Macaca fascicularis: one gene and its partners. The protein of the gene in region 1 interacts with the protein of each later gene in a pairwise test. Links are inferred from orthologs where the notes say so. Each region holds a gene or a part of one and is shown in the gene's direction. Other genes may lie near its edges. The genes, in order: PRKAB2, GRN, UBXN11, RHEBL1, PYGM, CDX4 and MAGED1.

Region 1 (3,500 bases):
TCATATCAGAATCTGAGGGTTATTCTTAGGCATATGTCAAATTCTTGATTCTAACGCAGCCAGTTAGGCAAGGGTGCATCGTTCTGATAATATGTAGTTTTCTCTGAAGTCAATTCCTTATGTGAAAGTCCTTTCAATTCTCTTTCTCTATTTACTTTGGATTATCCTGCTGCTGATGTCTTATACTGTAGTTTTGAGGAATATCAAGAGAATGTATGGAGGGGAAACTATGTCAACCATTTTGAAAAGAAAGCCCATATGAATAAGCTAGTCCTTTAAAAAAAAGAAAAAGAAAAAGAAAAACCCCACATTATTCTATTTAGTAATACTTAGGCTTAATACTATACAGTCTTCTTCACCAAAGTCACTTAAACCAGTCTAAAACAGGGGTCAGCAATCTTTCTGTAAAGGGCCAGATAGTAAACAGTTTAGACTTTGTAGACCATACAGTCTCTGCTATAGCTACACAATTCTGCCACTCTAGCATGTAAGCAACTATAGGCAATATAGGTAAGCAAGGCAGGTATTTTGGTTCATACCTCTAGTCTCAGCTTCTCTGGAAACTGAGGTGGGAAGATGGCTTGAGCCCAGGAGTTCAAGGCTGCAGTGAGCTATGATCACACCACTCACTGCATTCCAGCCTGGGTGATAGAGCAAGGTCCTTTCTCAGTCAATCAGTAAATAAAATAATAGGTAAACAAACGGGCAGAGCTATTTTCAAATAAAACTTGATAAAAGCATCTAGCTCACTGGCTGGCTGCCAACTCTTGGTCCAAAGGATAGTAATGAAAAGAAACTGGAGTTACTGTTTTTACAATCCCACAAACCTCATTTAATAAGAGAGCTACTTTTGACAAAGGAAATTGTTTTTTTGATCTCTTGCTCCTTGAGGTTCTAGAATTTTTATTCCTACTCCTGAAATAATTAGTGTAAACCTGGGATAGGGGAGTAAGTAAGATTTCATAGCCACTTCTCAAGTTTTAAGAAATCAGTGATCTGGTTTTTGAATTTTTAATGTTTCTTCTTTTTGTAACTTGTTAGCTGAAATAGAGTTTATGAATTACTTATAAACTAGAATTTTGATATCTCTAACTTCCATTACAACTGGTAATTGAGAACTATTCATATTTGCCTATAAAAGTATATGGCTGACTTAATTATTTTTTACAGAACCATACTTTGTTTTCATTTTTTTTCTCTCTCTTAAAAAAGACTCGGCCGGGCGCAGTGGCTCAAGCCTGTAATCCCAGCACTTTGGGAGGCCGAGGCGGGTGGATCAGGAGGTCAGGAGATCGAGACTATCCTGGCTAACATGGTGAAACCCCGTCTCTACTAAAAATACAAAAAACTAGCCGGGCGAGGTGGCGGGCGCCTGTAGTTCCAGCTACTTGGGAGGCTGAGGCGGGAGAATGGCGTGAACCCGGGAGGCGGAGCTTGCAGTGAGCCGAGATCACGCCACTGCACTCCAGCCTGGGAGACACAGCGAGACTCCGTCTCAAAAAAAAAAAAAGACTCAGTAACAGGCTGGGCACGGTGGCTCACACCTGTAATCTCAGCACTTAGGGAGGCCAAGGTGGGCTGGTCACGAGGTCAGGAGATCGAGACCATCCTGGCTAACACGGTGAAACCCCGTCTCTACTAAAAAATACAAAAAAATTAGCCAGGCGTGGTGGCGGGTGCCTGTAGTCCCAGCTACTCGGGAGGCTGAGGCCTGAGAATGGCGTGAACCCGGGAGGTGGAGCTTGCAGTGAGCTGAGATCACGCCACTGCACTCCAGCCTGGGTGACAGAGCAAGACTCTGTCTCAAAAAATAAAAAATAAAAAAAATAAAAAATAAGAAAGACTCAGAAGCATATCATAATTGCCTGCCTATGAGTTAAACTAGTGGTAGGGAGTTAGTTTTTTTTCTTTTTTTTTTTAAAGGGAGAGTCTAAGGCTGTGAAAGGGTGAGTGATATAGGTAGACTCAAAAGTTAAGCTGTGATTTAGGCAGTGCTTGAGCATAGGCCATTTGACCATTTTTGGTCCTAGATGAGTTCTTTTTCTATAATTTGTTCAAACTCTGATTTAGTTGCTAATTTTGGGGTTTATATCCTTAGCCAAAGCCTAGCACCCTTCTCTACTCTAGGAAGGAGAGTGACCTTTTTAGAATTCTTGGGTCACAGTTTATTCTAGGGATGACCTACTCCTTCTTACAGCTCCCTGGGGACAAAGAGTTTGTATCATGGCAGCAGGATTTGGAGGACTCCGTAAAGCCCACACAGCAGGCCCGGCCCACTGTTATCCGCTGGTCTGAAGGAGGCAAGGAGGTCTTCATCTCTGGGTCCTTCAACAATTGGAGCACCAAGATTCCACTGATTAAGAGGTGACAAGTATCTTGGTTGAATCTAAGGGTCCAGGAATAGAGACCTGATTTCTTTTCTCAGAAGAGAGACCCAGCTGGACTACTTTTCTCCACCTGCTAAGGACTCTCTCTAGAACATATCTCTGTGGCCACTTAGTATATCTGTGGGATTTTTTTTAACCTCATAGTGAGTCAGAGGTCTTTTATCCCTTAGAATTTCATTGCCTCAGAGGGATTCATAATAGCTTTGTGACTACATTCTTTAGGACTGTGTCATACAAGTCCTGTCTCTGCTTGTGGGAAGTCTTCTGTAACTGGCTGAGTCTTGTTGCTCTGACTTCCGCACTAAAGCAAAACATATTTTGAAGTTCTAGGTAGTCATGTTATTCGTTGCTTCCAAAGCAATAATGAATGATTTAACTGGTTGTCAGAATGAGCCTTTGTATGGTAGTTCATTTTCCAGAAAAGGTTCACCAAAACAAAGTACCTTGAGGCACTTCTGTATCCTGAACCTACCTATCTCATTTGCACTGCTGAGGAACTTGTTCTACTGAAGCAAAATAGTTATACTAGGTGAACCATTTGAGGGGATTAATGTTTTTATTATTCTTTTCCAGATATTGGTTAAGAACTAACGTTGTTGGGAGGAGCTGGTAAATACATGTCCAAGATGATACAGAAAAGGAGAATGGGTTTATATGTTGTTTTTTACACCAGGGATACAAGGCTTAGGAATCTGGGAAGTTATTCATATGATACTATGATTGCCATTTGTTTTTTACATTCAGTCTTCTAAAAGAAACTTGGCCTGTCTGCCTTTCTTTTTTCTTCTGTAGCCATAATGACTTTGTTGCCATCCTGGACCTCCCTGAGGGAGAGCACCAATACAAGTTCTTTGTGGATGGACAGTGGGTTCATGATCCATCAGAGGTAAGGCCTTGATCTCCAAGGGTAACCATTGACTTAGCAGTCTCATTTTAGCTGTCATTTCTGTCAAGACTGATGGGCAACTGCCCCTCTACACTGGAGGATTTCTCTCTTGATAAAATGTGGAGGTGCTGAGTACAATCATGTGTAAATTTTAGTAAAAAAGGAAGGTTGGATGGGAGAGAGAGATTTGAAAGATTCAATAATTTTTTGTATTCACTGTTTCAGCC
Region 2 (4,028 bases), on another chromosome or scaffold:
CCCTGCCAAGCCTGCCCTTCCCATCTGGTTTCCCAAGGCTCTTCCCAACACCACCTCCTCCACCTGCCAGTTAAAATCTTCCCAAACTCAGCTCAAGGAGATGCTTCTAAGGTGGAATGAAATATCTTCTTCCCCACCTGTAGACAATCTACTTCCTCTCCCACACCTGGCAACTGGCGCACGACCTTGTATATTAAATTAGATTCAGCCTGAGACTGTCTCCCACCAATCCCTGCCCCCTGTCCTGCTGAGCACCTGGAGGAAAGGGCTTTTGGGCTGTTTATCTTTGTCCTGGAAACCATCCTTCAACTCACTCTGGGCCCTGCCTAGCATGTCATCCGAGTTTGCAGAATAGAGCAGGACAGGACAGGGCAGGATAGGATAGGATAGGAGCGAGTGAGCCCGGTAGCTCACACCTGTAATCCCAGTTCCTCGGGGGCCTGCGGTAGGAGAATCGCTTTGGGAGCAGGAGTTGCAGGCCGCAGTGAGCTATGATCAGCTTGGGCGACCGAGCGAGACCCTTTCTCTAAAACAAACACACAAGGTCGGGTGCGGTGGCTTAGGCCTGTAATCCCAGCGCTTTGGGAGGCCGAGGCGGGCGGATCACGAGGTCAAGAGATCAAGACCATCCTGGCCAACATGGTGAAACCCCGTCTCTACTAAAAATACAAAAATTAGCTGGACTTGGTGGCGCGCGCCTGTAGTCCCAACTATTCGGGAGACTGAGGCAGGAGAATCGCTTGAACCCGGGAGGCAGAGGTTGCAGTGAGCCGAGATCGTGCCACTGCACTCCAGCTTGGCGACAGAGTGAGACTCCATCTCAAAACAAACAAACAAACAAAAGAATAGAAAGAGGAGCACAAATATTCCCAATTCATAACAGTCCCTCGCACTGTCAATGCCCCAGACACGCGCTATCATCTCTAGCAAACTCCCCCAGGCACCTGCAGGATGGGTGAAGGAAGGCGACGAGCACCAGCTGCCCTGCTGAGGCTGGCCCGGCGTCACATGATTTTCCAATCACATGATCCCTAGAAATGGGGTGTAGGGCGAGAGGAAGCGGGGAGGAGAGTGATTTGAGTAGAAAAGAAACACAGCATTCCAGGCTGGCCCCACCTCCACATTGATAAGTAGCCAATGGGAGTGCGGCAGCCCTGATCCCTGGCCAATGGAAACTGAGGTAGGCGGGTCACCGCGCTGGGATCTGTAGTCTGAGCGCTGCCCGGTTGCTGCTGCCCAGGGACCGCGGACCCGGACGCAGGTAGGAGGGCGGCCGCGCAGACCTCTGGCCTGCTCCTGCCCAGGGGCCCGGCTAGGGCCATGTGAGCTTGAGGTTCCCCGGGAGTCTCAGCCGGAGACAAGACAAGAACCGCTTATTGAAACTCCTTGGGGGTTCTGATACACTAGAGGGAGTTTTATGGGAAAGAGGAAGCAGTAACTGCAGTGACCTCTGTTAGAAGGGGGCTTTCTACCTCCCCAGCATTCCCCCAAAGCAGGGACCACACCATTCTTGACTCAGCTCCACCCCTGTCGGTAGGTGCCGGCTTCTTTCCCTCTCGTGGTGGTGGTGGGTGGTTCCCGCGGCGGCCTGAAGCCGGAGGGGCGCGCGACCCTGGGCTGGGAGCTCCGAGGGCCTGGGAACGGGACCTGAAACCTTGGCTTCTCGAAGGTAGTAGGGACTTGGGAGTGGTGACTGAACCTGGTCTGGCTCCTCCTTACTTCCTCTTTTTGGGGGTGGGACGAGCTAACTTCCGCCTCTCCCAGCCACTTTTTCCTGCTCAGTTGCAGCTAGGCTGGCTCCCCTTTTGGGAATTTCCTCTCCCCTTGGCACTCGGAGTTGGGGGCTGCCACCTAGTGGAAGATAACGGAGCTAGGGTCTTGAAGAGGCTGCTGTCCCCTCTGGCTGTTTTGGCGGTGTAGGGTGGCGTGAGAGACTGCGACTCGCCTCCTCATCCCTGTTTCTGTATGTGTGTGCATGTATTCAGTAGAAGCATACACTATACTCCCTCAACTCAGGGTAAACAGGAGGGGCCATGCACAGGTAACTCACCAGAGAGCTGAACACTCCTGTGCAGACAGACTCCCCTTCCCAGCAAGCCAGGGCAGCGGACAGCCTGCTGAGAACACGCAGGAAGTAGGCGGTGCCAGCTGCAGGTGCTTTGCCTGGGAGCTGTGGGGCTGAGGAGAGGGTCCACTGTCCAGGACCAGTCAACTGCATCCTTATCTGTCCAGGAGGTGGCCTCTTCGGGATGCTGAGTTAGGGGAGGGGCACTTGAGGAAAGCCAATTGGAGCAGAGAGGATGTGAGTGACTGGGTGGGTGACATTTCCTGCCCTTCCCCCCTCCAATGATATCCACACAAGACTCGTGGGGGAACTGAGGCACAGACAGGGAGCAACTTCTCAGGCCCTCACAGTTGGCAATTCCAGGATTAGGACTCAAGTGCGATTTCCAGGCAGTCCCTGTTTCTGTGGTACCTGTTGCACCTATCCCCCTGGGGCGTAGGGGTCCATTCTCAGGCACTGCCCATTGTGCCACTAGTGATATTAACCCAGGTCCAATACGCTCTGGGGCCATCAAAGCCTGTCGTCACCATGACCTGATGTGTGACATGTTATCGGTGTCCCTTGGTATCTTCATGGAACTGGTTCCAGGACCCCAAAGTCTGGGTGCTCAAGTCCTTGATACAAAATGGTGTGATATTTGCATATAACCTATACATACTTTAAATCATTTCTAGATTACTTATGCCTAATACAATGGAAATGCCATGTTGGCTGGGCACGGTGGCTCATGCCTGTAATCCCCACACTTTGGGAGACTGTGGTGGGTGGATCACCTGAGGTCAGGAGTTCGAGACTGGCAGCCTGGCCAACATGGTGAAACCCCTATCTCTACTAAAAATACAAAAATTAGCCAGGTGTGGTAGCAGACTCAGGAGGCTGCTCAGGAAGCTGAGGCAGGAGAATTGCTTGAACCCGGGAGGCAGAGGTTGCAGTGAGCTGAGATTGCGCCACTGTACTACAGCCTGGGCGTCAGAGCAAGACTCCGTCTCAAAAAAAAAAAGAAAAGAAAAGAAAAGAAAAAGAGTGCAGCACACCAACATGGCACAAGTATACATATATAACAAACCTGCACGTTATGCACATGTACCCTACAACTTAAAGTATAATAATAATAAATAAATTTAAAAAAAGAAAAGAAAAAGAAATGCCATGTAAATAGTTGTGATCCTGAATTGTTTAGGGAATAATAAGAAAGAACAATCTGTACATGTTCAGTATAGATGCACCCATCCTAAGCCTAACTACATAGTATACCTCAGCAACAATGTAACATTTTCTGGGGTTTTTGTTTTGTTTTGTGAGACGGAATCTCAGTCTCGCTCTATCACCCAGGCTGGAGTATGGTGGCACGATCTCCTCCACTCACTGCAACCCCCACCTCCTGGGCTCAAGCGTTTTCCTGCCTCAGCCTCTTGAGTAGCTGGGATTACAGGTGTGCACTACCACGCATGGCTAATTTTTGTATTTTTAGTAGAGATGGGGGTTTCACCATGTTGGTCAGGCTGGTCTCGAACTCCTGACCTCGTGATCCGCCCACTTAGGCCTCCCAAAGTGCTGGGATTAGAGGTGTGAGCCACCACACCCAATATTTTTTGATCTCTGGTTGGATACGGAGGGCTGACTGTACTTAACATCTCTGAGCTTCAGTTTCTTCCTTTGAAAGTAAAAGTGGCTGGGCGTGGTGGCTCACGCCTGTAATCCCAGCACTCTGGGAGGCCGAGGTGGGTGGATCACGAGGTCAGGAGATCGAGACCATCCTGGCTAACACAGTGAAACCCCGTCTCTACTAAAATACAAAAAATTAGCCGAGCGTGCTGGCAGGCGCCTGTAGTCCCAGCTACTCAGGAGGCTGAGGCAGGAGAATGGCGTGAACCCAGGAGGTGGAGCTTGCAGTGAGCTGAGATAGCACCACTGCACTCCAGCCTGGGAGACAGGGAGAGTCCGTCTCAAACAAACAAACAAA
Region 3 (3,500 bases), about 96 Mb from region 1:
TCACAAGGCCCTGCTGTGGTAGCTCTTCCTGTCTCATTCTGTCAGTGCTGGTTTGCCCAGAGCTGTAGTTCCTTCTTCCTGGCCCCTGGTCTTCTCTCCACTCTGTGCTATCCAGCATCTGACTAGCCCACCTGCTTTTACTTCTTTAAGCCAGGGCTGTTTTCTTGGCAAGCTTCTCTCTTCCCTTTTGTCGTTTCTCGGCATCCTCCCTGGTCTGGCCCCATCCCATGTCGACCACCCATGTTCATCAGCCTGAAAAACCCCTGGCCCTGGGAGGTGACAGGAACACTGAATTAGGAGTTGGTGTATTTGGTGCTCTTCCTGGCTCTGTCTGGTCTGATCAGGCCATGTCATCTGACCTTTCTGGGCCTCACTTTCCCCATCTATAAAGAAGACAGAGCCCTGGCAACACAGCGAGACCCCGTCTCTTAAATTTTTTTTTTTTTTTAATTAGCAGAGTGTGGTGATGCTGCCTGTGGTCCCAGCTACTTGGGAGGCCGAGGTGGGAGGATCAGTTGAACCTGGAAGGTCGCGGTTGCAGTGAGTCATCACCGTGCCGCTGCACTCCAGCTTGGGTGACAGAGGGAGACCCTGTCTCAGAAAAAAAAAAAAAAAAAAAGAGGGTTGAGGCAGGCATTGTATGAGATTACCTATTCTGCTATTGTTTTTAGGTTTGCCTATTTGTATTTAAAGTAGTTGTTAAAATCATGTCTTGGTATCATTCTGTTAGGTGAGTTTTTCCAGGGCATCTCAGGGACTGTGGGGGAACCCCAGGAGGAGGTGGGGGCAGGTATAGCCCCTTCAGGGGTAGGAAGTGTAGGGGAGAGGAGAAGGCCAGCTGGGGCCTACCATTTCACCTGCTGCAAAAGCAACAGGAAGCACATCTGCACCTCCCTGGTACAGCCACTGCACCACTGAGAGGAAAGGAATTGGGTCCCCAGAGCCCTGACCCACATCCTGCCGCAGCCTGCCTGTCCTGTGAAAAACAGCCTCTCCGAGGCCCCGAAAGTTACTGGTGTGTTGTAGGGCACACCCGAACAGATGACTTACTTGGGGACCAGGTCCCATCAAAGATGACAGAACAGGCCCCTGGTCTGTCCCCAGCCAGCGTCTACCTGTCCTCCACTTTTCTGCTCTGTTATCCGTCATGGCTGGCCCCACCACTCCATATTCTCCCCCGAAGCCAGTGCACAGCTGTATGTGCCACACATTTTTCAGAAGAGGAGGACAGAGCTTTGTCAGCTTCTCAAAGGGGTCTGTGACCCAGAAATAGTTGCACAACCTACGGTCTGTTCCATATCTGTTCTGGCCAGCAGCTGTCCCTACATCCTCCCTAAGAGCCGTCTGTCCCTCTTCTGACCTCCCTCTCCTGAGATGGGTGGGGGAAACAGACTTGAGAGGCAGCCCCGACTCCCTTCCCAGTTCCTCCTCTCACCAATTGGCTTGGGACAAGTCATTTTTCATCTCAGTGGGCCTGTTTCCTCATGTGTAAAATGGAGCTAAATAACCCCTGCATCAGCCTGGCGTGGTGGCTCATGCCTGTAATCCCAGCACTGTGGGAGGCTGAGGCGGGCTGATCACCTGAGGTCAGGAGTTCCAGACCAGCCTGACCAATATGATGAAACCCCATCTCTACTAAAAATACAAAAATTAGCCGGGTGTGGTGGCATGCACATGTAATCCCAGCTACTTGGGAGGCTGAGACAGGAGAATCACTTGAACCCAGGAGGGGAGGTTGCGGTGATCCAAGATTGTGCCATTGCACTCCAGTCTGGGCAACAAGAGTGAAACTCTCTCAAATAAATAAAAATACCCCTGCCTCAAGCCTCAGGGTTGGCATAAGGACCATGTGTGCAAGGTGGAGTTGGGCACAGTAGCAAACATGGACAGGGTACGTGTTCCAAGCTGGCTCTTAGGAAGATAGCTGCTGTTACTATCTAGTGTTGTCCTTCCTTTTCCCCAGGGAGTCAGTTGAGGAGACACTAAGACCACTGCCCAGCCTGGGAGGGAGCCACAGAGACTAGGGCTGCTAGGGACACGGCAGCCAGGAGGCGGCTCATAGGTGTCTGTCCTCTTTGCCAGGGGACTCATTGGCACCCCCTGAGGTGGACTTTGACAGGCTGCTGGCCAGCCTGCAGGATCTTAGTGAGCTGGTGGTAGAGGGTGACACCCAGGTGACACCAGTGCCCGGCGGGGCACGGCTGCGTACCCTTGAGCCCATCCCACTGAAGCTCTACCGGAATGGCATCATGATGTTCGACGGGCCCTTCCAACCCTTCTACGATCCCTCCACACAGGTAGGAGCGGTGTTGGGGGGTTGGTGTTCTAATGCCCCTGCTGCCCACTGTTAGTTGGGGATGATGGAGTCAGTTCACCCCAGGTCCAGCCTGCCCTCCATGGGGCACCCAGGCCCACACACGACTTGCAGATGCCCCTTCCCCAAGGCCTGGGACTCAGCTTCCAGAGTGCAGCACTGGGTGACCCTGGATCTAGGGCCTGCCATCCAGACTAGTGGCAGGGCAGGGTGGGTCCAAGGCCCAGGCCACCCGCTCACTTTTCCTCTCCCCTTGCAGCGCTGCCTCCGAGACATATTGGATGGCTTCTTTCCCTCAGAGCTCCAGCGACTGTACCCCAATGGGGTCCCCTTTAAGGTGATGAGCTGCTCCTCAAACCACACCTTTGGGGATTTTGGAGGCTGTGAGGATACACAGCCTCCCCAGGCACCTCCCATTCTGAGGGAAAGCCACTGTGCCCCCTGGGGGACCCCAGTTTGATGCCCTCCAGGAGGATAAGCCTGAAGCTGGGCTGGGAAGGGAGCAGGGAGGACCGAAACAGAGCAGCAGGCAGCGCCCTCTGCTGGCACCCTGGAGACAGCCTCGGCTGCAGGGCCACTGCCTCCCAGTCCTCCCCAACTTTCAGGACACCTTGACAACCTGGGGTCCCTGCAGAAGTGACCCGGCTATCCCCCAAGTCTCCTGAAGCTATCTGGGTAGGGTGGGAGGCAGTGCTGTGAGCCACATGCAAAACAGAGGGGACAGATGTTGGGACTCAAGGACATAAGGTAGAGCTGGCCCATGGGTAGGTGCCACCACCGGAGCCCGTGAGGCTGCGTGTTCCAGAGGGTGGTGGGTTAGTGCCGCACTGAGGGCGTGTCAGGGAGGCAGCATGTGTCACCAGGGCTCAGGAAACAGCATGAGTCATGACTGGGGGTGTTTAAGGCATTTGTGCCACAATGGGGGCCTCGGAGCCTTGATGAGGCAAGTGAGGTTCCATGTACGATGATGCAGTTTGTGCTGCAGACTGGAAAAAAGCAGGGGCTTCGTCCTCTCCTGACCCCCTCACACTCTGCCTTCATGGTAGGCTCCTGAGAGGGGGTCTCCAAGGAGGGTGTCAGTACTGCAGCTTCAGCTGGCCTGGATGGGGTGCTTGCAGGAGCAGCAGGGCTGAGGAAGATGACAGCAGTATGAACTGTGGCTCTCCTGAGGCCTGGTTTTCCTCAT
Region 4 (3,056 bases), on another chromosome or scaffold:
TGGCAGGCGCCTATAATCCCAGCTACTCGGGAGGCTGAGGCAGGAGAATCGCTTGAACCCAGGTGGCAGAGGTTGCAGTGAGCTGAGATCGAGCCACTGCACTCCAGCTTGGGCAATAGAGTGAGACTCTGTCTCAAAAAAAAAAAAAAAAAAGTCAGGGGACATACATTGCTGGCCCTATAAGGCACCTCACAGTCAAGTTTTCTTTTCTTTTCAGCTTACAGCAAGATAGTGACTCTTGGCAAAGATGAGTTTCACCTACACCTGGTGGACACAGCAGGGCAGGTACCAGTTGGGGTATGGTATCCAAAAGTGGCAGTTCAGCCCTCAGAGATGAAGTCTGGTAGTCTTTGTGGCTCATCTGTAAAGTAGTATTAAAAGCATTTTACCTGTTAAGAGTATGCAGGGCTCATTGGAGCTGCTCCATAAATACTTGTTGAAGTGACTATAGTAGGGCGTGCCCCAGGGAGGGTCACCTGGATGTTGTCCCACCAACCTTTGCCATCTGAGTGGTTTGGATCTAGGTACTGATGTTTCCATTTCTTGACAGGATGAGTACAGCATTCTGCCCTATTCATTCATCATTGGAGTCCATGGTTATGTGCTTGTGTATTCTGTCACCTCTCTACATAGGTAAGTGACCAAGGTTGTGAGTGTGGGACTTAGGAAAACCTGAGGACTGTCTCATAAAGTTATAGCTCCAATTCTTGTGTTTAAAGCTTCCAGGTCATTGAGAGTCTGTACCAAAAGCTACACGAAGGCCATGGGAAAACCCGGTAAGTGGCCTTGGGGGATAGGGACATAGTGTGGGCATGAGGGAGTAGGAGAGAGCAGAGGGGAGAATTGTCAAGTTAGAGAGGCTCGGATATAGATCCTGCCTGGTCTGATAAGGAGTCGTCCAGCCTTGATATAAGGAGTTGGGGAATGAGGGGATTCTGAAATAACTGCTGTTTCCTCACAGGGTGCCAGTGGTTCTAGTTGGGAACAAGGCAGATCTCTCTCCAGAGAGGTATGTAAATCTCTGCTACTTAGAGGAAAAGGAAGTGAAATGGACTTGGAATCAGTCAGGCTCTCATCCTGGCTCTGCCACTGACTCAAACAAGTCATTTCACCTCTCTTTGTCTCTAACCTGAAGCTTAAGGAAGATAATACTTCTATCTTAAAAGCCACAATTTCATATTTCAAGCCTCAGTCCTAGATTCACCCATTGTTCCTTTGTTTACCTATATTTTCTCTTTCCACAGCCCTCCTCCCAAAACTTGGGGAAATGGCGTGGGTCAGAGGAAGTCTTTTTCTTCCTTCTTTTTTTTTGAGATGAAGTCTTGTTCTGTTGCCCAGACTAGAGTGCAGTGGCGTGATCTCGGCTCACTGCAACCTCTGCCACCTGGGTTCAAGCGATTCTCCTGCCTCAGCTTCCTGAGTAGCTGGGACTACAGGCGCATGCCACCACGCCCGGCTAATTTTTTGTATTTTTAGTAGAGACGGGGTTTCACTATGTTAGCCAGGATGGTCTTGATCTCCTGACCTTGTGATCCAGCCGCCTAGGCCTCCCAAAGTGTTGGGATTACAGGCATGAGCCACTGCGCACAGCCCATTTTCTTTTTAATAGAGATGGTATTTCACTGTGTTGCCAAGGCTGGTCTTGAACTCCTGAGCTCAAGTGATCCACCACCTCGGCCTCCCAAAGTGCTGCATTACAGGCATGAGCCACTAAGCCTGGCCAGGAAGCCTTGATTCTGAAGATTTTTCAGAGCACTTACCAACATTTCTATCCTCCATCTTTATGTCCCAAATTTGCTTCCAGAGAGGTACAGGCAGTTGAAGGGAAGAAGCTGGCAGAGTCCTGGGGTGCGACATTTATGGAGTCATCTGCTCGAGAGAATCAGGTGCTCGGCCCGAAGACTAGAAGGGTGGTGGTGGTAGCCGTGTTTTCCTTATTGTACTGCTTGGTGGGAATGTTGCAGGAATGGAGCTTTCACCCCAGAGCTGGGTGGTATTGGCACTGAACTGACTTTTGCCCTGAATCCTCTCCCCTTATAGCTGACTCAAGGCATCTTCACCAAAGTCATCCAGGAGATTGCCCGTGTGGAGAATTCCTATGGGCAAGAGCGTCGCTGCCATCTCATGTGAGCCCTTGGGTGTGGTGTAACTGCCTTGTTTCTGCCTCTGGCACTTGCCATGTTCCAGTGGGGGGTCAGACCCTCAGGACTTCACGGGTATGGTTGCCAGCTGTGTTCCTGACCCCTGGACACACAGTGTGGCATCCTCATGTTTGCACACTTTCCCCAGGCTCTAGTGGCCTGGATGTCAATGTTTACAAAGGGGCAAGGACCTCTCATGGACACTGGCCTCTAGCCCTCTGTTTTTGCTAGATGAATTCTGTTATAACCTGTGGGGTCAGGATATGAGTCCTGGGCATTATTTATCCAGGACCCATCCTCTTGGGTGAGTTTTGGGTGTTGGCTGGGTAAGGGGAGCCAGGGACTTCTGAAACAGAGCTGGCTCCCTGGGGTGACAATGTATATATGCAAATAAACTGAGAAATCTTTTGTTGTTGATTTCTTTTTCCTGTGTGTGTGTGAGACGGAGTTTCACTCTGTTGCCCAGGCTGGAGCGGTACAGTGCTGCGATCTCAGCTTGCTGCAACCTCCGCCTGCCAGGTTCAAGCAGTTCTCCTGCCTCAGTCTCCCACAGGCACCCGCCACCACGCCTGGCTATTTTTAGTAGAGATGGGGTTTCACCATGTTGGCCAGGATGGTCTCGAACTCCTGACCTTAAGTGATCCGTCCGCCTCAGCCTCCCAAAGTGCTGGGATTATAGGCGTGAACCACTACTCCCGGCCTTATTGTTGACATCTGTGTATCTAGGGAGAGCTCAGAGCCAGTATCTCTTTTTCCAAGGAGTCATGGCTGTGGTCTTTGGTGGGAAATCTTTCCTCCTACCTTGTTCCTATTCCTTATTCCTCACTTATTAACGACCATTATCCTAACTTGCCTTTCCTACCTTTCTATTCTGCTGGGTTCCTCATATACTGAGTCCAGTTGGCTGCCACTCCC
Region 5 (4,093 bases), on another chromosome or scaffold:
GAACCAGGCTCTCAATAGTATCCTGCAGCTGTCCAGGCTTTTGACCTGCTGCCTGCCCTCAGAACAGAAACCCAGCTCTTCCCGTCCACTGGCCCACCACCCGGGAGGCCCAGACAGCCTTTGAACTAGCACAAGGTCCTGGTTCCTTTCGCTTAAAGAACAGCAGGATCCAAAGCCTGCCCTCACAAGATGAGGCAGCAGCTGAGAGGAAGGAATTTATTTTTCTCATTGGAGACTCTAAATTTGATGAAGGAATCCAAAGCTCGGAAAGGTAAAGCAACAAACTTGAGGTCACACAGCAAGTCAGTGCTGGGGCCAGGACAAAGCGTGGAATGGGAGGATAGTCAAAGCCTCCAGGGAAGGGCCCGAAGCTGTGAGGCTATGCTCATGAATGGGGTGAGGTCCCCGAGGTACAGATTAGGCACCCATTTTATAGGGTGCCAGGTCACAGAGCTGGTTCACAAAATCCCTGCCCAGGGTGTGGCCCCAAGTGGCAGGAAGGAGTGAGAGAAGGCCTCCAATCACTTCCTAAGCAGTGGAATCACAGGGAGAACTTACTGTCATCAACCAGTATGATGACGGGGTGGGGAATGCCTCAGTTTCTCCCACCCCCAAGGGCCTACAGGACTACAGTTCCCAGGGCCCTGTGCTGCAGGCTAGCAGCCTCCCGCCAATGCTGGCCTGTAACCTGAGCATCCCTCTCCAAAAGGTCACTTCAGAGCTCCTTGAGGGACAGCAACAGGGGGAGCCCAGAGCTGCTCAGTTTCAGTGGGGGTGGAGTGAGGGCGGTGGCCCTGCCTCACACAACCTCCCTCACACCACCAGGGTTGTGGGCCCCCTTTCTCGAAGGGCCCCCTGTCTTGAAGACATTCTGCTAGTTGCACCTCTTCCGTAAGGGGACACTGACTTGCCTCCTGCACCGCAGCCTGCAGGGGGTCCTGGTTCCTTTTACCACAACACATGGCCTCCCATCCTGGTTTAGCCACTGGCAGACAGCTCCCCAATCCAGCACTCTTGCCTGATCTTTCTTGTATCCAACCCTGCAAAAGGCAGGGACAAGGGACAGAAGACCCGTGTGCAAGGCCTGGAGGAAGTGGGTCAGCACAGGCCTGTGAACAAGCCAGGCCAGTCTTGGAGGCCCAAGTGGAGCTCACCTCTCCCTCCCCTCCCCTCTCCTTCCTTTACCCTCAAAATAGCTCCCTGAGCTGCCAGGCCAAGACCCTCCCATTGCAGGGGAGGCGGGACGTGCTGCCCAGAGCCAGGCTTTAAATCCCCTTGAGCCTGGGGAGCTCTACTCCCTGGCTGGAGGCAGTGCTGAGGCTGCCGTCTCCTCCACCATCAGTCCAATCCGGCCCACCCTCCTGCAGCCATGTCCCGGCCCCTGTCAGACCAGGAGAAAAGAAAGCAAATCAGTGTGCGTGGCCTGGCCGGCGTGGAGAATGTGACTGAGCTGAAAAAGAACTTCAACCGGCACCTGCATTTCACACTCGTAAAGGACCGCAATGTGGCCACCCCACGAGACTACTACTTTGCGCTGGCCCATACCGTGCGCGACCACCTCGTGGGGCGCTGGATCCGCACGCAGCAACACTACTACGAGAAGGACCCCAAGGTGCTGCTGGGGACACCTGGGGTGGGGGTATGGGATGGAGGCACTGCCAGGGAGCTGGGGATCTTGATTTAAGTGGCTGCCCCTCGTCACTCTAGGTTCTTGGGGTTGGAGAATCCAGGGGTGCCAGGCACAAGTGGTGCTGGGACAATCTGAGGGAGAAACCTGGGGCGGGGGTGGGGGTCAGGGAGCTCAGAGCAGGTGGTCTGGCTGCAAAAGTGCCCACTCGGAGAAGGTTGGAGGGGGTGCTGGTGGGCAGGATGGCACCTGTGGCCTGGCTGGGCCCAGGTGGAAGGACATGTCAGTTGCTGCATGTATGCGTGGTGTGCCTGTGCAGCAGGAGGGGCTGGGGCAGCTCGGGTGCAGAGATCAAGTGTCCGGTGGGGTCACTGGTAAATGTCAGCAACCTGACACCCCTCAGTGGGGAGTGGGGGAGGAGCAGGCAGACGGGGCCCGGGAGGGGACCCAGGCAACCAGGAGACCAGGCACTGGCAGCATCCTAGTTTCTGGTGCCTCTGGGTCTCCTTGGGATTGAGGCTTGAGGGCCAAGGGGAACTGGGCAGTGCAAGGATGGGAGGTGACAGTCTCTAGCCCAGTCTCTAGCCACTGTGTGACCTTGAGCAAATGACCTTTTTCTCTGGGCCTTGGCCTTGCCCTCCTGGGGAGCTCTTGGAGGCGCTTCCGTGTGTCCTGGCGCCCTGCTGGGCAGTGCGGGGGCGTGTGTGCAGGGGGAAGGGGTTCCCACTCTCCCGAGCGCCTCAGTCCCTGAAGTGGGTATGGCCAGCGCCATTTCCCAGATAAGGAAACAGGCCAAAGAGAGTGATTTGTCCAAAGTCAGAGGAATGCTGGGACCAGAACCTTACCCGTTGGGCCCCAAAGCCTGAGACAGGGAGAAGCAAACTGGGGACAGGGATGGGACTGCTGAGCAGGGCAGGCGGCCCAGAGGTCCAGGTGTGGCTGGGTCTGGCTGAGTGTTGGTGTGTGGCCCTGACCCCATCCCCTGCCCGTCCGTCTCTCTGGGTAGAGGATCTACTACCTGTCTTTGGAATTCTACATGGGACGGACGCTACAGAACACCATGGTGAACCTGGCCTTAGAGAATGCCTGTGACGAGGCCACCTACCAGGTATGTGTGGGGTGGGGCAAGCCATGGGGACTGGGGGATTCCCCTGCTAACACTTGACCCTGACCACTGTCACCCTCACCCCTCCAGCTGGGCCTGGACATGGAGGAGCTGGAGGAAATTGAGGAGGATGCGGGGCTGGGCAATGGGGGCCTGGGCCGGCTGGCAGGTAAGTGGACAGGGCCTTGAGGGTGGAGGGGGCCGATGGGGTCCTCCGTGCTGGGTCCCTGACACCTGCCTCCCTGCACACCCCCAGCCTGCTTTCTCGACTCCATGGCAACACTGGGCCTGGCCGCTTATGGCTACGGGATTCGCTATGAGTTTGGGATTTTTAACCAGAAGATCTCCGGGGGCTGGCAGGTGAGCAGCCTTGGCTCTAACCTTGTGGGGTCTAGTCAGGATGGGGAAGACCCCCACTTGTTTATTATCTCTGAATAGGTCCGAAACAGCCCCCCAAGCTCTGTGGAACGCATCCCTGCTGCTCCCCACCCCCCAACCCAAAGCCAGCTGGTGCCCCTGAAACAGGTGGTCTATGTCCCACTGGATAGCCCAGTAGACCAGGGGCCCACCTCAGAGCCCCTAACTTACACTTGGTGTGGGGTACACGGGCCCACAGCCCCCGCCCTGCCCCACCGTGCACTGTGGTGTGAATGCCTGCGCTGATGCTGCCGGCCTTTCTCCCTGACCTGCCTTGGGTGCAGATGGAGGAGGCTGATGACTGGCTTCGCTACGGCAACCCCTGGGAGAAGGCCCGCCCCGAGTTCACACTACCTGTGCACTTCTACGGCCATGTGGAGCACACCAGCCAGGGTGCCAAGTGGGTGGACACACAGGTAAGGATGAAGCTGGGGGTCAGGGGAGCTCAGAGAAGGGGAGGGAAGAGAAGGAAGCCCAGAGAGGAAGCAGGACCCAGTGTATTTTATAACTGAGGATGCTGAGACTCAGAGAGGTTAAGTGACTTACTCAAAGTCACACAGCTGAAGCCAGGAAAGACTGGATACAGGGACACAGGGGAGCCAGTCTAAGTACTGAGCCTGGAAGGGGAGAGAGGCTGCCCTGCTCCCCCAGTGTCTCCCCATGACCTGGCTCCACCACACACCATGAGATTTATCAAAGGACCATCTTACGACTTGAGTCTGCCCTGAACATCTCGATAGCAGCAGCCCAGAAACGGGGACAGGAGAAAACTGGGACCTTCTGAAAGGAATTCACTCACCACACAGCAAGTTAGAGGAATCCTGAAACCAAACCAAATCTGGACACGGTGACTCATGCCCGTAATCCCAGCACTTTAGGAGGCCGAGGCAATAGGATGGCTTGAGTTCAGGATTTCAAGACCAGCCTGGGCAACATAGAGAGAC
Region 6 (2,943 bases), on another chromosome or scaffold:
CTAGGAAACTATGTAGCTATAGTGTCAGGATCCCACAAGTGTTTTCCACTCTTGGGCCATTATTATGCATCCCAGCATATTTGAACTTGGAATAACATTTAGTTAGCATGCTTAAATAGGAGTCAAAGATATATGCTTGGGTCCCCACTCCTCAATTCTCTAACACAAAGTCATTTACCCTGAGTTTCATGTTCTTATCTGTAAAATGGAGATAAGACATGTTCTGCACAATTCAAGAAGGTAGGTAAGAGGTTTAACAGGAACAGTATGGAAAGACTGCATAAAATGTAATGGGAAGTACCTGTATAATGGCATTACTATTACTGCCAATGCTAATCACATATGTAAGTGGGAAGGTAATAAACACCATGGGTTAAAGTGTTTAAGCATTTTCAATGCTCTGCTATAAAAATAGGTCAAGATGGGATGATTGTGATTTGACCAATCATTTTAGGAGAAACATTAATTAAAGAGATATTGATTTTATGTATAAAGAGAGATATAGATATATAGATATATGTCTATGTCTATAGATGGTAGACTGAGATATTGCTATCATAGCCACAGATGAGAATGTATTTAATGGAGAAATGGACTTTTATGAATATTTGATTCAAAAATATATTTATTTTATATTGTAAAGTAAAGATGAGGGTGGGAAGAGTGTCTATGATTTCTTTAACTAAAACAATCTCCAAGAAGCAGAAAATGATTAAATGCAATGCTTTCTCTCCTAACAGGTAAAACCAGGACAAAAGAAAAGTATCGTGTAGTTTACACTGATCATCAAAGATTGGAGTTGGAAAAGGAATTCCATTGCAACACATATATCACCATCCGGAGAAAATCAGAGCTGGCAGTTAACCTGGGCCTTTCTGAGAGACAGGTACACCAGAAGTATATCAAACATGTCCCATATAGTCAATTTCAATAGAATCAGAATTCTAGAATTGTAAACTCCCTTGATGCATTGCCTTATCCCAAGTAGCTTGCATTTCGACCACGTGTGAATGCACATTGATATTGCTCTTGTCTATCTCCAGCAAGAGATATATAATATTTCATCACCCTTGTTCACTCATTTATATGTTTCATTAATACTTTACTAACAGGAAGACAAATTTCCTATTAGTAATAGTATACTAATAGGAAGAAAAACTTCCTTCCTATACTATTAATAGTATACTATTACTGATAGGAAGATAAATTTTCTATTTTATTTTATTTTATTAATATTTTACTAATAGGACTTTTTAGTGAAATATTAATAAAACATAGAAATGGCTGATTATAATTACCTTTGCTATTTAAATATCTCTCTCTTATCAGCACTCCTCAGCATCTATCATTCCAGCGTTATTTATTTCCACCTGTGCAACAGAGGAGGCGGGTAAGGTATAATATTAAGATTATTGCATTCAGAGTTAGTAGCCCTAGACTTGGATCTCAGTTTCATCTCATGCAAAGTACTTGCCCTCTCTAAGTCTCAAGCTTTTTTTCTAACCTGTTAAGTGGGCATATTTCACAAGGTCATTGTGAGGCTCAAATGAAGTGATGCATATGAAGGGGCTTTGTAAATGCTAAAGTCTGTGTACAATATCAGAAATCACTAAGTTAACTGCATTCAGTATGTTGCTTCATTGTGTTTCAGGTGAAAATCTGGTTTCAGAATCGCAGAGCCAAGGAGAGAAAGATGATCAAAAAGAAATTCTCCCAGTTTGAGAATAGTGGAGGCTCGGTGCAAAGTGACTCTGGCTCCATCAGCCCTGGGGAACTGCCTAACACTTTTTTCACCACACCATCTGCTGTTCGTGGATTTCAGCCTATTGAGATACAGCAGGTTATAGTCTCTGAATGAAAGAAAGCAAAGAGAAATTTAAAGTGCTCTGTTTTTAGTGGTGCCTTTTGGGTCTCTAAGCTATCTGCAGGGGAGTTGGAGCAGGGTGTAATTCCCTGTAAGGCAGTATTTGGAACAGATGGATGTACAATGGGTTGAAGATAATTTAGAGGACTCTTACTTTTAGAAACTATCCCCAGAAAACTCCTGTCATGTGCTGTGCTATATGTCAGTCACTCAGGAAGCTTAGTAGTAAGCTATATAATTAAAAGCTAGAATCACAGGCCCTTCCAAGTCTGTTCACAATTTCAGAAACTTGCTTATGAATAGACTGTAAAATACAATTTTGCCAGAAAGCACATTTGTGTATGTGTACTTTTGTTTGTTATTTGATGCTAGGTGTTTTCTTTTATGCTATCTTTAAGGAGTGAAAAGAAAGTAAACCAAAGTTTATCTATCGTTAGCTACCTTTCTAAGTGTTTAATTCAAAAGCTAACATAATTTTTATAACAAGATAAATGTTTTAAAAATCATCAGAAGGTGATTCTGATTCCATTGTCACTACTTAACAAGAACAACCAATAAAATAGACAATTTTGGCCCTCAGTCATACTTGTCTGGCATCAATTATCTCAGAACTTTCAACCTGCAGTGTCATTTTAAAATCTTGTCAAAACAATGAACCCAGACTAAAACAAAAGAGGCCAGCTTGGTTGAGTAAGGCACATCTCCAACTCATAGAATAAACTCTACCCCCTCTTTTATCTCTCCATTCCCATTCCAGTAAGACTTGTGTAAGCACAAGACAGTGAACTGATATGTATCCCGTATGTGCCATCACCTTTCAACCTATTCAGTTTTACCCACATCATGTCATGTCAATGTAGTTTACTGGTTTATAATCCAAGAAGCTGCAGTTTACAGATTAAAAACACACAGCTTGACTAAGAAAAGGGGTTGCAGTGATCCAGGCTGCCAAGAGCTTTTAGTGTGGGTCCAGCATACTGTTTGCATATTGAAGTGGACAAAGACTAGGCTGCAAGTCCTTTTGAATTGAGATGGTTTAAAGGAAAGCTTGATTAAAGCGTAAAAGCCATCAGGGTACA
Region 7 (3,339 bases), on another chromosome or scaffold:
AACTTCCACCTCCTAGGTTCAAGCAATTCTTGTGCCTCAGCCTCCTGAGTAACTGGGACTTCAGGTGCCTGCCACCATGCCCGGCTGTTTTTGTATTTTTAGTAGAGATGGGACTTCACCATGTTGGCCAGGCTGGTCTCAAACTCCTGACCTCAAGCAATTCACCCACCTCTGCCTCCCAAAGTGCTGGGATTACAGGTGTGAGCCATCATGTCCAGCCAGAATTCTTCTAATTTTTCTACTTTTCTAAGTAGTTGTCTTGCAAGTGAAGCCCATCCACCATCCCCACAGTAGACATTCCCAAGGCTGGGCCAGGCTGACACTTTTGCACTACATTGTAATCATTTCAATGGACCTCTGTGGCTCACTGACAAGATTACAAAAATCTGGAGCTAGAGCTGAGGCAGAAGGAGTGAAATGAAATGTTGTCCTTTCTGTGACCCTATACAAACGTCGCCTGCAGCTCTAAGTGAGTGCTTAGTGTTCTGGTGCAGGAATTCAAGGCTTGATGATTAAGGGGTAAATACCCTGATGGTGTTCAGGAATGAGCCCGAGGGGGAGTTGCTATTTGAAATCTGATGTTAAAAAATGTAGGATTATTTTTCATTACTGGACTACCATTCTGCCCGGGTAGGTAGACACAAAGACTGTTTTGCTCTTTCAGATACCTGGACTACAGACGAGTGCCCAACAGCAACCCCCCAGAGTATGAGTTCCTCTGGGGCCTCCGTTCCTACCATGAGACTAGCAAGATGAAAGTGCTGAGATTCATTGCAGAGGTAATGTGCCAACCAGCATTGATAGGTCAAGGGATGAAGTATCGCTGGCTGGGAAAGGTCCAGGGTAGGAATGAGATCCTAGGTATGGCACGTGATAGGTGCTGCATTGCTGGTGGTATTTGTTGTTGTTGTTAGGTAAACTTAACATGCATTAGGTGCTAACATATGTTAATATATTAGCTAATACAATTATGAGTTTGTTTTGGTTTTTTTTTTTTTTAGGTTTTTAAAGTATTTTTATTTTTTCCCAACTTTACTAAAGTATAATTGACAAAAATTGTATATATTTATGGTGTACAATGTAATTTTTAAGTATTTTGTTTTGTTTTATTTATTTATTTTCTCCTGAGATGGAGTTTTGCTGTGTTGCCCAGGCTAGAGTGCAGTGGCGCGATTTTGGCTCACTGAAACCTCTGCCTCCCGGGTTCAAGCGATTCTTGTGCCTCAGCCTCCCAAGTATCTGGGATTACAGGCACGTGCCACCACCATGCCTGGCTAAATTTTTATTTTTCTATTAGAGACAGGGTTTCGCCATGTTAGCCAGGCTGGTCTCGATCTCCTGACCTCAAGTGATCTGCCTGCCTCAGCCTCCCGAAGTGTTGGGATTACAGGCGTGAACCACTGTACCCAGCACATTCATTTATTTTTAATTGACTAATAAAAAGTATATATATTTATGGGGCACAGTATGATGTTTTGATAATACATGTCATGTACATTGCGGAATGATTATATCAAGCTAGTTAACTCTCCGTAGCTTCATATACTTGACATTTTTTTTTTGTGATGAGAACATTTAAAATGTACTCTTTTAGCAATTTTAAATAAACAACATATTATTATTAACTATAGTCATCATGCTATATGGTCAATCTCCAGAACATACTCTTCCTATCTAACTGAAATTTTGTACCTTTTAACCAATATTTCCCCATCCCTCCTGACCCCAGGCCCTGGAAACTATCATTCTACTCTCTGTTTCTATGAGTTAGACCTTTTTAGATTCCATGTATAAGTGAAGTCATGCAGTATTTGTCTTTCTGTGTCTGACTTACTTCACTTAGCATAATGTCATCCAGCATCATCCATGTTGTTGCAAATGGCAGAATTTCCTTCTTTTTAAAGGCTGAATAGTATTCCACTGTGTGTGTGTGTATCACATTTTCCTTATCCATTCATCCATTGATGGACACGTAGGTTGATTCCGTATCTTGGCTATTGTAAATAGATTTTGTTTTGTTTTCTATTCCTCATCTCAGGTTCAGAAAAGAGACCCTCGTGACTGGACTGCACAGTTCATGGAGGCTGCAGATGAGGCCTTGGATGCTCTGGATGCTGCTGCAGCTGAGGCCGAAGCCCGGGCTGAAGCAAGAACCCGCATGGGAATTGGAGATGAGGCTGTGTCTGGGCCCTGGAGCTGGGATGATATTGAGTTTGAGCTGCTGACCTGGGATGAGGAAGGAGATTTTGGAGATCCCTGGTCCAGAATTCCATTTACCTTCTGGGCCAGATACCACCAGAACGCCCGCTCCAGATTTCCTCAGACCTTTGCTGGTCCCATTATTGGTCCTGGTGGTACAGCCGGTGCCAACTTTGCTGCCAACTTTGGTGCCATTGGTTTCTTCTGGGTTGAGTGAGATGTTGGGTAGGTACATCACTTTGGATTGGGCAGTTAGGGTCTCTGGGGGATATAGGGTCCATGGGATTGTATTTATGTGCATGAGCTAGGAGTCTTAGGAAACTCATTGTAGGGAGGTGAGGAAAGTATGGGGCAGCACTCTTTGGTGTGTATATTCCTTATTATTTGATATATATCATTGATTTTTTTACTTTTTTTTCTTATGTTCACAGATATTGCTATCAATCGCAATAGTCTTTCCCCTGTGTGAGGCTGAAGCCTCAGATTCCTTCTAAACACAGCTATCTAGAGAGCCACATCGTGTTGACTGAAAGTGGCATGCAAGATAAATTTATTTGCTGTTCCTTGTCTACTGCTTTTTTTCCCCTTGTGTGCTGTCAAGTTTTGGTATCAGAAATAAACATTGAAATTGCAAAGTGAATTAGATGTGCTCTCTGCTTCTTTTTTTCCCTATATTTGGGGAGCGAGCAACATGTTTATGTGGGAGAGACAGGACCTCGGCTCTAGTTTGAAGGGGGTAGATCAGCTTTCAGCAGGTGGAAATATGGGAAGATCCAGCTACTGGATTGGGATACAAAGGCAGTATCAATGAACACGAGACCCAAGAACTTGTATAGTTTATTCAATAAATATCACTTAAGTGATTCTCATGTGACAGATATGCTGCTAGGTGTCCTGGAGTGACATTGCGAGAATTGCATAGTGAGAGAGGGTATAGGTGCTCAGACAGTTGCACTTAAGAACACAGCGGAGGTGGAACTCCAGGTGATGATAAAGTCCAGAGAGTAGGTAGTTGAAAGGGACAGAAGGTGACTATTCTGGAGATAAGGGGTCCATGGCCTGTGATTCTAGGGTGTTGGTTATACAACCCATGTGGAAAGTGAAATAACTCCAGGAGGGCAGCAGGAGTAGGAGCAGAGA

The links.
Region 2: the proteins of PRKAB2 (region 1) and GRN interact in binary tests that used the Homo sapiens proteins (3 or more experiments, as listed by UniProt). The link is inferred for Macaca fascicularis from reciprocal best matches to the Homo sapiens genes PRKAB2 and GRN.
Region 3: the proteins of PRKAB2 (region 1) and UBXN11 interact in binary tests that used the Homo sapiens proteins (3 or more experiments, as listed by UniProt). The link is inferred for Macaca fascicularis from reciprocal best matches to the Homo sapiens genes PRKAB2 and UBXN11.
Region 4: the proteins of PRKAB2 (region 1) and RHEBL1 interact in binary tests that used the Homo sapiens proteins (3 or more experiments, as listed by UniProt). The link is inferred for Macaca fascicularis from reciprocal best matches to the Homo sapiens genes PRKAB2 and RHEBL1.
Region 5: the proteins of PRKAB2 (region 1) and PYGM interact in binary tests that used the Homo sapiens proteins (3 or more experiments, as listed by UniProt). The link is inferred for Macaca fascicularis from reciprocal best matches to the Homo sapiens genes PRKAB2 and PYGM.
Region 6: the proteins of PRKAB2 (region 1) and CDX4 interact in binary tests that used the Homo sapiens proteins (3 or more experiments, as listed by UniProt). The link is inferred for Macaca fascicularis from reciprocal best matches to the Homo sapiens genes PRKAB2 and CDX4.
Region 7: the proteins of PRKAB2 (region 1) and MAGED1 interact in binary tests that used the Homo sapiens proteins (3 or more experiments, as listed by UniProt). The link is inferred for Macaca fascicularis from reciprocal best matches to the Homo sapiens genes PRKAB2 and MAGED1.

Annotation. Positions count from the first base shown.
Region 1 is NC_088375.1:113,066,662-113,070,161, forward strand, and holds part of PRKAB2 (5'-AMP-activated protein kinase subunit beta-2), read left to right. Parts: intron 1-2,197; coding exon 2,198-2,364; intron 2,365-3,179; coding exon 3,180-3,273; intron 3,274-3,498; coding exon 3,499-3,500. UniProt on the Homo sapiens protein: Non-catalytic subunit of AMP-activated protein kinase (AMPK), an energy sensor protein kinase that plays a key role in regulating cellular energy metabolism.
Region 2 is NC_088390.1:65,406,518-65,410,545, forward strand, and holds the start of GRN (progranulin), read left to right. Parts: upstream 1-1,228; 5' UTR 1,229-1,261; exon of another isoform or gene 1,262-1,669; intron 1,670-4,028. UniProt on the Homo sapiens protein: Secreted protein that acts as a key regulator of lysosomal function and as a growth factor involved in inflammation, wound healing and cell proliferation. Regulates protein trafficking to lysosomes, and also the activity of lysosomal enzymes.
Region 3 is NC_088375.1:208,855,670-208,859,169, forward strand, and holds part of UBXN11 (UBX domain-containing protein 11), read left to right. Parts: intron 1-2,082; coding exon 2,083-2,297; intron 2,298-2,573; coding exon 2,574-2,651; intron 2,652-3,500. UniProt on the Homo sapiens protein: May be involved in the reorganization of actin cytoskeleton mediated by RND1, RND2 and RND3. Promotes RHOA activation mediated by GNA12 and GNA13.
Region 4 is NC_088385.1:55,881,794-55,884,849, reverse strand, and holds the end of RHEBL1 (GTPase RhebL1), read left to right. Parts: intron 1-217; coding exon of another isoform or gene 218-285; intron 286-550; coding exon 551-633; intron 634-719; coding exon 720-776; intron 777-961; coding exon 962-1,009; intron 1,010-1,804; coding exon 1,805-1,886; intron 1,887-2,040; coding exon 2,041-2,130; 3' UTR 2,131-2,556; downstream 2,557-3,056.
Region 5 is NC_088388.1:9,632,221-9,636,313, forward strand, and holds the start of PYGM (glycogen phosphorylase, muscle form), read left to right. Parts: upstream 1-1,293; 5' UTR 1,294-1,369; coding exon 1,370-1,612; intron 1,613-2,633; coding exon 2,634-2,735; intron 2,736-2,822; coding exon 2,823-2,901; intron 2,902-2,988; coding exon 2,989-3,092; intron 3,093-3,433; coding exon 3,434-3,565; intron 3,566-4,093. UniProt on the Homo sapiens protein: Allosteric enzyme that catalyzes the rate-limiting step in glycogen catabolism, the phosphorolytic cleavage of glycogen to produce glucose-1-phosphate, and plays a central role in maintaining cellular and organismal glucose homeostasis.
Region 6 is NC_088395.1:80,248,307-80,251,249, forward strand, and holds the end of CDX4 (homeobox protein CDX-4), read left to right. Parts: intron 1-740; coding exon 741-886; intron 887-1,329; coding exon of another isoform or gene 1,330-1,390; intron 1,391-1,651; coding exon 1,652-1,858; 3' UTR 1,859-2,443; downstream 2,444-2,943.
Region 7 is NC_088395.1:51,968,158-51,971,496, forward strand, and holds the end of MAGED1 (melanoma-associated antigen D1), read left to right. Parts: intron 1-664; coding exon 665-779; intron 780-2,038; coding exon 2,039-2,416; 3' UTR 2,417-2,424; intron 2,425-2,630; 3' UTR 2,631-2,839; downstream 2,840-3,339. UniProt on the Homo sapiens protein: Involved in the apoptotic response after nerve growth factor (NGF) binding in neuronal cells. Inhibits cell cycle progression, and facilitates NGFR-mediated apoptosis. May act as a regulator of the function of DLX family members.